Drosophila melanogaster: one gene and its partner. Changing the gene in region 2 together with the main gene of any one other region gives a genetic interaction. Each region holds a gene or a part of one and is shown on either strand. Other genes may lie near its edges. The genes, in order: cta and Gprk2.

Evidence for each region.
Region 1: of Gprk2 (region 2) and cta, changing one suppresses a phenotype caused by changing the other (phenotypic suppression), as found in Drosophila melanogaster (one study listed by BioGRID).

The regions. Positions count from the first base shown.
Region 1 is NT_033779.5:22,980,074-22,985,034, forward strand, and holds the start of cta (concertina), read left to right. Parts: upstream 1-1,742; 5' UTR 1,743-2,124; coding exon 2,125-2,520; intron 2,521-4,961. UniProt on the Drosophila melanogaster protein: May play a role in a signal transduction pathway used during gastrulation. Required specifically for the ventral furrow and posterior midgut invaginations, where it is necessary for coordinating cell shape changes.
Region 2 is NT_033777.3:31,403,345-31,408,512, forward strand, and holds the start of Gprk2 (G protein-coupled receptor kinase 2), read left to right. Parts: upstream 1-1,900; 5' UTR 1,901-2,612; intron 2,613-5,168. Other genes in the region: PNPase (polynucleotide phosphorylase), read right to left, coding at 1-531, 592-1,011, 1,068-1,213. UniProt on the Drosophila melanogaster protein: Specifically phosphorylates the activated forms of G protein-coupled receptors. Required during oogenesis and embryogenesis; component of a signaling pathway that functions during egg chamber maturation.

The DNA of each region.
Region 1 (4,961 bases), on a different chromosome or scaffold from region 2:
TGACTTTAGAACCATTGGTATTAATTCAGTTTTTCTTTTTCTTTCTTTTTTTTCAGCTTTGTAGATCTGAAGGCTGTTTGAAACCCCAATGTGCATAGGCAGGGTGAGGTCAAGTTGCTTGATGTAGTCAGCGCAACGTGTTAGAGTGGATATGCATTAAAAATTCAGCTTTTGCTTGAAAATGGCTCCGAAGTCATGGGTTAGCAGGCAGTTGGACGTGGTGTACAGCTTCGAGATTAGCATCAATGTAGTTTCTTCTACGCGGAATTCCGCCAAGTTATCCAACCCATAATATAAACTCTGCCCATTTGATAAGCAAATTTCACACTCCAATCTCAACAGCATTGCCTTTGCCCTTGTTTTTGTCGCCAACACTTAGCCTGCTTTTGTCCTTGTATTGTCGCCAACACTTAGCCTGCCGCAGATTGGAAGACGGTAGTCAATTTTAAATAGCATTAATGCGTGCGTAATCGTAATATCTATGAGAGTCTTAGTTATATGTACGAATATTTAGATGATAGAAATTTAATAATGTGAAATCTAGTTTCCAGTTGTTTTCTTTGAATCTGACAGTGCTGTTTGAAAAGTAGTTTGCAGTCGAAGGTCATCCCCAAATTTTTTAAAAAGTTTACATCATTTATTGTGCGGAGAGATTACAACGTTTTTTCCGTCAAATTATAATAGTTGGCATTTTTCAATGGCAGAGAGGTATTTTCGTGCAATATTTCTAAAAATTTTGTGCTGACTGTATGAATATTTTTTATTTTTGTAAAGTGAGATGTAAATATATTTTTGCCGAGTTACAATGTTATTTATTTCTTCAATTGCAATCATAAATAAAACCGCAGAAATTGGCGAACCTTGCGGAATTACATTGTGTAAAATGTTTGAATTCGATGTGACATTGTTTATTCGAACCCTGGTAGTTCCGCCGTCCAGGGCGGCCATGCTGCACCCCGGGCTATAAGACGGATGCAAAGTACAGTACGCTGTCATCAAGTCTGATCACCGCTTCCGAAATAAAGCCTTCTGCCCAGCTCTCTTAAACAATATTAAGCTTAGCTTTAATTAGTTGACAGCCTTACAAAGAATCTAAACGAATTCCAAAAATCTTAAACACAGGTGGCGAGCACGCAAAACGGAATAAATATTTATTTATTTATTTCTCTATGTAAGCTAATGGCCATGATATTAAGATTAAGATATAAAAATATTTTTTGAATCTTACCTAGCTTTAGTGTATTGGATCAACCTAATATCGAAATAAAACAGAATGCGAATTAAACCAATCAATGCTACTGTATCCATAGCAAAAGTTAAAAATGTTTTTTTTTTTTTAATTTTCATCCCATACAGGTCATCCTATAAGGGAACGTGCCCTCTCCAAAAGTCACTTCATTAAAATAAAGTTTTAATTTTAAAGAAATATTCTACAACCAATTTTTTTATTAATGTTATTGTAACTGATTTGTTTTGTTCCCAATTAAAGAATAATATTTTCTTCTCATTTTCTTTTTATCTTATATGCTTTAAAATTTAAAATTAAATTATAAATTACATTCCTGGTAAACCCGATATAATAATTTGTTTTTAATAATTCTTTACACTAAAGAGCTGGACCTGTTGCTTATAATATTGTCAAATTGGTTCACATATGGAACCAATTTCACCGAAAAACTGATCTGTGGGAACATGGTATAACAAAGTTGACACGAATGTTTATGTTTTATATACAGGCAAAAATTATTATCACCGCTGTTGTTTGCTCCATATATAATTACAATTATATTCCTAAAGAAACGTAAATGTAATGGCTGAGAGTGTCATAACCTAATAACGATCACGTTCAGTGTCTTATTGGTGTGAACTTTATTCCGGAATTTGTGTTGCGTTTAAGTCTGATGCCATGTAGAAATAATGGTTATGGCTTTCAGATGGCAACATCGCCTTTTAATCTAATATGAGGCCTACAATTAGAATATGCAGAATTCAAAAAGTGTTTGTTTATAAATTAAAGCGAAAGCAAGACGATGAGCATCTGCTGTTAGTGTGGGGAGTGTTTGACGTATTGGTGTTCGTGTGTGTATATAGAAAGTGCGAGCATCAGGCGTTGGCTTGCCAGCGATGTCTGGCATTACATTGACCAAATTAACTCAAGAACGAATTTCCATTCCAAACAACAATGTCATCACGAACGGCGTCGAAAACAACATAGATAGTGACACGCTTAGTGGTACTCTGACTCATCTTATGGAAGAGCATCGCACGCGGGTGGGAGCGGTAACTGGACCAGAAGCAGCGACCACGTCTACAGACGGCCTAATATCGAATGGAGCAGAGCGACTGCGACTTCAGGGCAGTCGGCTTCAGACCTCGCGCTTTGCTTGCTTTCGATGTTGCGGAAATATTATCACATATCTAGTAAGGCTGCGTAGTACCCCTGAGGAACTGGAGCAGCGCTACAAGTCCAAAGAGATTGATAAGTTCCTGGAAAAAGAAAAACACACCTTTCGACGTCAGGTAAGGTGATTTAGGGATATCGATTTCTAACCCTTGCTGTTGGTTATTTTATTTAAATGTTAACAACGAAGTAAAGGAGATATTCGACAAATTAAAGTCTATGTACAATGGCGGAAAAATTATAATGTGTTTAAAATGTAATTTCTGTACAATGTTATAAGCATATATTTAATTTAAAAAGTTACGTTTTTTTGCTAACAATTCTAGAATTATACGTATGTGTTCTTAATTAACAGGACTAGGCAAGTCGGTCGAGTAGTATATATGTACATACATACATACATACATACAACAAGCGCTATATATTTGTAACCGAAAAATATAAAAACAAGAGAAATCCTATAGTTGTGAGCTCCGCAAGTATAAGATACACGCTACTTAGGTAATGGAAGACTTCCTACTTCTTGAGGCCCGTCCCGTCTCGAGCACGAAACCTAGTCCCAAAAAAAGCCCGGGGCCCTGCCCAAGCTAAACACGAACAAATTAAAAAATAAAAACAATGCAATTTTTTTTAATTTAAAGTATGTCGGTTTTCTTATATTTATATTTCTTATATTTTGTAAACAAAGTTGATTGCAAAAAACTTAATATTTAGTACAGTTTTGGTGTTTTAAACATAATTTATGACAAGTTTTTATTTAAAAATATTTTTTTTTTTAAATTAGAACATTTTAAACGTGTACATCGCTCATTTAATACAATTCCAGAGGTAGAAAATAATCTTTTGCTATTCGCTGAGCTTGCCGGAATGGCAATTCAATAACTTGAGTTCACTACATTTCCAAAATTCTAACACATTTTGGTCTGAAGTAGCTGCACAGCCATTTAAATATTTTTCTATTTCAATATCATAAGAATTTAGTTGTAACTAAGTTTTTTTGAAAAATTTTTAATCCTGAAATTCTGCAAACAGTCCTAACCCCTTTTTATCTGGGCTTGCAGTTCTTAATCCTATAAAACTCCTCATCACTTTGCATTTCTGAAAGCATTGCTTTGACAGTTACAATTACATTCTCCTTAACTTTTGGCGATAAGCAACACATTTCCTTAACGGGAGAATTTAAGAAGAGTCCAACATAATGTGCCGTTTATGGTGCACATCTTTTATGTAAAGAATTTAACGTATTATTTTTCAGCTGAATTATGGTTTCAGAATCGAGCATTTCACTGGCGCACATCTTTAATACTTTCTCCGATCACAAACAAAATAGATTTATCGATATTAGAATCCAAACTGTATTCTTCCATAATTTCCTTAACGTTATTGAGGATGTTCTCGCCTGTTAGATTGTGACAAACAAGTTTAACTTTCGGTTCTGCCTGCGGGCTTTTTTCTTAGGGCACGAAAGACGAATTTGAGGCCCGAACCCAATTTTTTTGGCAAAGGCCCGCGGGCCTTGAAATAAAGCCCGGCCCGCGCTGCATCATCATTTAAAAAACATTATAATGGTCCACATTACAAAATTTTTGCCAGGCACAGTCTATCAAATACTTTTGCAAAACGGACTTAATTGTTATAGGCATTTTTTAAAATAAATCTCCATTCAAGAACAACATTTTGTTTTTTATAAGCATGCAGAGTTTTTTTCAATGACTTGTTCAAGGGTAATAGTTTCTTGTTCACAGAAAGGGTAAGGAGTTTACTTTGGGTGAGTCAGGGAATGTTTTTAAATGTCTTGTTTTTGAAAAAACAATTGAAGATATTTCATGGAATTTCTTCACCGGCCCCAACCAGGTCTAATTTTCTACTTTGACGTGTTAGTCGATTTTTCTCGGAAACGAACAAGGTTTTAGACCGATAATTCGGTTATGAGCATAACACAAACTTTTGCACATATATTTTGTTAATCCATTCATAAAACAAATTAACAATATAAATCTTGCTCCATCTCTTATATTTCGTGCAATGGAAAGAAGAGGTTTGGACAAGAGGCTAGTTTGATTAGAAACGGTCGGACAAGCATGAATATTTCGATTCGCTTGTTCATATTGATGAATAATATACATATGTACACTGCGCCTCACCAGGTTAGCGCACCTTGAGTAAAAATCTTTGATGTGAGACATTTAGAAAACTGCTTAAGCGAAAGTTTTTGAAATTTTTTCCCTTAAAAGTTGTAAAATTTCATAAATGAAAAGTTTATATGGGATGCAGTTTGTTGTTTATAGATTTTTGTTGAAATAAAAAAGAAAAACAAAAACACCAGAAAAAAAACATCAGGATAGCGCCCCTATGACAATTTAGGTTTTTTTTTATTAATTTCGAAAAAAGTTAGATGATTATCACTTAAATGTTTAAAATCTAATATTTTTAAAGAAAACTAATAATTAGTTGCTTCTCCTTTGTTTTCAAGGACTTCACACATTCGTCTGGGAAGTGAATCATATATTTTTTCTAGGTAATCCAAAGTAATCGTAGACCAACCGAACTTTTTTCCGGT
Region 2 (5,168 bases):
TTCCTCAGCTGGTCGTAATCTCGTCCATCGCAACGCAGACCCCGCTCAAAGATCAGTTCGCGAAAAATGGTTCTACTGGTCTGGTTGAACTGCTCGGTAATAAGCGACGGTTCGGTATCCGGAAACGAACTCCACACCTTGTCAATAACGTTGGAGCGCACCTCGTTAACCGCATTGTCACGAGACATCTTGTCGTGCGTCGAATCCTGGAAGATCTCTCTCAGCCGCATTTCGCACATGCTACGAACGGCTTTCCCCAGTTCGGGATCTACTTCGGCAGCCACTTCCACTTCGCGCTTCTGTCGACCATAGGCCTTCTGCAGTCGCTCGATCTCGTGGATAATGAATTGGGCCTCACGAGTCCCTTGTTTGATAGCCTTTAGAAGGTCCTGCTGAAGAACCACATTCCCCTTGCCCTCCAACATAACGACGAGGTTTTGTTTGGTGGCGGAGACTACCAAATCCAGTTGCGAAGTCTGCAGCTCCCGGCGCGTGGGGTTGATCAGCACCTCGCCGTCGCAGAGGCCAACGCTTTGTAGGATTAAAAGAGTTATAAGCGGTTACCAGTTAGATTCGTTCGTGAGTACTCACCGCACAGCTCCAATGGGTCCATTCCAGGGAATGTCACTTAGAGATAGCGCCATGGAAGCGGCATTGATTGCAAGCACATCCGGACTGTGCACCGCGTCCATAGCCAACATGTTGCACACCAGCTGTGTCTCCGTGCGATAATCTTTGTGGAAGAGCGGGCGTAGCGAACGGTCGATAAGGCGGGCGGACAGGATCTCTTTTTCCGAGGGGCCCAGTTCGCGGCGCATAAAGTTCATGGGTATTCTGCCAGAGGCGGCGTTTTTCAGTCGGTAGTCAACCACCAGAGGCATGAATCCCTGGCCGGGATTTGGCTTCGCCTTGGCCACCGCGGTGACCATGACGGCGGTATCGCCCATTTGGCACACAGCTGTTCCATTCGCAAATCTCGCCAGGCGGCCGGAACTGAAGGTCATGTTACGTCTGCGGAGGATTCAAGACTTTGCTATTGGAACTCGGAGTGGAGGCCACGAACTCACCCATTGCTGAAGTTGACTTCCACGGAGGGCGCTTCTCCGTTGGAACTGCTTTGGATTCCTCTCCTTCCTCCTGGGCAGGACAAACTTAGGCATTTGAGGCGATAGTTGAGCAGCTTCAGCGATTTCCGTGTGAAAATCATGGCCATTACCTAAAAGTGCCGGGTGATTCCGGCTGAGGCGACAGTTCTGTACGCTGTATTTTCATGGTTATTTAAGAAATAATTAGTGGTCAAAATCTTACAATAAAAGCCCTGTACGTTTCTTGAGACTTGGAAGTTAGACTTAGAGCGCCTCAACTATTTGTATTGTTTAATTCAGTTATCTCAAAACTAGAATGCCCATTTAAAACAAAGTAGAGTGTGCAACATGTGTGCGTTCGGCGTTGCCACCTGGCAAGGGTAACAACAAATGAATTATATAGACAAACTATTACACGGATTATGTCTTAGGAATAATGTAGTAAATATTAATACAGCGTATTTTAAAAAAATTAATTTCGTTTCCAATAAGATATTTAGAAGGGTTCCCAGAAAATGAACTATTAGCTTGTGTCCCCGATAATGTCAAATTTGCAGTGCTGCCAACTCTTAGCAATGTTAGTTACAGCATGCAAGAAACAGCATTTAAATTCCTTTTCAGAAACGAAGAATTAAGACGGTATGTTCTGAAAGGTCCTAAAACGACCAACAGAATGACGCGACGATGTCCAAATCGCCAGATCTAAGTAATTCAAGCTAGCTAGAAAATAGCTGAGGCATCAGCACTACACAGTCCGCCAAAATTAGTCCGTCTTTTTACGCGTTTAGAGTTTTTTACCGCGAGTCGAAGACGTCTTTCACTAACTCAACGACGGTCTTACAGAAGACTCCAATATTTTTCGAGCAGGCAATTCGCGGATCCATCGTTAATTTTGGGCACTTGCAGAAAGCCCAGTTGCGAACGTCGTCGTGTGTCGTCTTAGAAAAGCCACTCCTCCAACCGGAAAACCGCAAGAGCGTCGAGCCCTTGTTTTGCGAGCCTTTTCGAAAAAAGCTGGGAATTTCACGCCGTATTTTTCGTATCTTTTCCGTCAACGAAACGCCGCGTGTGTCGTAGTGTGCGTGTGTGTGTTCTGTGTGCCCGCCCATCTGTGCATGTGTGAGAGCGCGCCTGTGTGTGTGAATTTTGGTGAGAGCCGCAACAACAACCGAAAAGAAAACCAAAATCGACAAATGCGGTCAAATTGAAAAGAAAAACAAAAAATCAAAGAGTATTCTTGCGCAAAGCCAAAAGGCAAAGTCAAAAAAGAGCGCAAAGCCAAAAAAACGCAGATTTCCCAACGAAAAGGCCGGAAAATTGCCCACTAGGCGTGTCGCTGCTTCTTCTTGTTCTTTCAAATTGTTTATGCTGCAATTGCAGTGGTGTGCGAAAGGAGTGGTAGAGAGAGAGAGAAGGAAAAGCGTCTTATCAACGCCCGCTTTCTTATCAGAACCCACACATTTGTTGCGAAAATTCCAACCAGCCGAAACTCACAGTGAAGCTTTAAATAGCACATCAAACAAACAGGTAAGTCTCATTAATCAGCTTGAAATCACCTTATTTTCTACTGCTCCTCGGTGGTCACAACTCACTGGCTGTTCCCCTCCTTTGCACTTAAGCACTTAACGGTAACTGTAAATTACACACACGTTGGCCTTGTCTCTCCTGGCGATTAATTGCATTAATGCCGCAGGACTCGCGCCATCCCTGTCACCCCACGCCAATCGATTAAAAAGTGAAAGCAATCGGGAAATGCTTATCAGTAGGTCCTCCTTCTTTGCTTTTTAAATGCATAAATACCCATGCACAGATGCACACATGCAAGCAATCAGCCCAACAATGCACTATATGAATATTTATAGCTCATTATTTATTGTCTCGCTGTTCCCGTCCATCATTTGACCCGCTAAAGAGGGCAGGTTGGTAAATAAATGAAAAGTTATCGAGATAATCGGTGGAATTGTTGGATCATTAATAATTTGTTTATTTTTTAGTTAACCTCTGACAATTTATCAATGACTTAGTAGACATAAGTCAGCTTGTTATTTTTGCATTTACCAAGATATCCGGAAGTAACATCTATTGCTCACACAAAAATATATTGGGCATTCACAATAGTGATGACTCACTGCCATGCGTGTTCACTGATTATTTTGACTTCTAAAATCATACATTTTATATTTACGTAAAGTTTTCAGAGCTGATATAAACATTAATTCAAGATATTTATTTATTAATCACTTGCACACTACTTCCAAAATACTGTACGTTTTATGCAAAATGTCGGAATAACATCAGAGATGTGATGCACAGGAAAATTCCCCATAATTCATGAAACCTATTTCCAAAATTAACAGAAAACTATTTGCGGTACTCGAACTCAAAATCTGTATTTTTATAGCACGAACATTGGAAAAGAACGCAAACCAATTAGTGAAACCATTTTGAAATCACCATAAATCAGCGTGATTGCCTGGCAATAAATTCCCGTTTCCATTTGCAGCTGACAAATGCGAGTCGTTAAAAATAGTTTTTCCCCAAAAGCGTAACTTTCCCCCGCTTTTCAAGGGCGACCCTCGCAATGTCCCGATGTACTTTCCTTATCGCTTCTGCATTTCGAGTTCTTTTTTCTGTGGTACGTCATCGGCAGCCGGGTGTCTCTGATTGTTTGAGAATCGCCTCGCCGGCTGCATAATTAAGACGAGCTGGACGTTTAGCTGATAAACGTTTCCACTTTTCATCGGCGGATGGGAGTCAATGTGCCATTCACAGAAGACCTCTACTCTGGTACACAGATGGTGATTGTTAAAGTCCAAGATCTCTGATGTGTGACCCCATGGGGTGCCCTTTTCAACTGTCAGGTCGCAACTATTGTTTCCATGTTTCGAGGGCTTGCGTCACAGTTTATCGACTCGAGTTGCGAGCTGCGAGCTGTGAGTCCCGAGAACCCGCAACCCATTCCGACAGGATGACGTAGGCAATTGGCAGAAACATGTGTATCCTGGGTATCCTGGGCCCCGTGCAGACAACAATAAACCATCAGCGCCAACCCCATGGGCAAATAAAACCCAATCGAATATTATTATCAATGAGGGCAGGACCCAAACAACGAACGCCAGTTCGAGCGCGAAGGAGGGTTGGCCACATGCTGCTCTTCCCTTGGCAGGATATCATTGCCAGCACTTGGACCCAGCCCACTGAACTTCCCAATTCCAATTCCAATCCCGACCACGCCCACATGCCATCATCGTCGCCTTCTGCGCTAATTTGGCGCGACTTTGACACTTGTTAGCCAATATGTTTTTGGCTCGTGTTAATGGCCCAACGGGAATTGATATTAATTGCGCCGCACGCCCCTCACGCCGCCCGAACTGGGCGTGGTCGTCGGTCAATATTGTTGGTCTCTAGAAGAAAAAAAAAAACAACAGAAAACGAAAAACACAAATGGCCCGAAAATCAGCTTAAATCAATTTTTTGTGGTCGCCGCCTTTTGTTCACTTGCTGGTTTTTGGTCCAAAATCGGCTTACCAACTTCGGTGCCTGTTTTTCTTGTGACTTTGGGCTTTACAAAGAGGCTCTAAGGTTCCCTTCTCGTTCAATCTAATTAATCCTGCCTTCCTTGATTGAGAATATGGGATTTGCCTTGCCCTTAAGAAAACCAGATTTCCTCACCCTTTGGCAGCCAATGAAAACTGAAAGCGCTCCCAATGTTTCCATTTTTCCAGGCCCTGTGTTTTCCTTTCATGTGCCCTAATAAAACTAAATTCAATTAGAACTTGCAGTTCGAGTTCCTTGTGCGTGTGGGAAAAGTTGGAGTGAAATGTGAGAAAAGTTTTGCGGAATATGTCGGAAAAGTGAAAGAGGGATGGGTAGGATCAGTGGCAATGGGCGGATGGCACATGGAGGGCTCATTAGTTGCCAAACGAAATCTCCGGAGGGCATGCAAATTTAATCGAATCACTTCGAGTGAAAAGCCACTTAATGATGGTTCCTTTCCTTTTCATTTCTAATAGATGAAAAGGCATCTGCCTAATGGGTTTTGAAAACAAGCAGCGTGAAAGGTTCCTTCCTTTAGGTCCTACT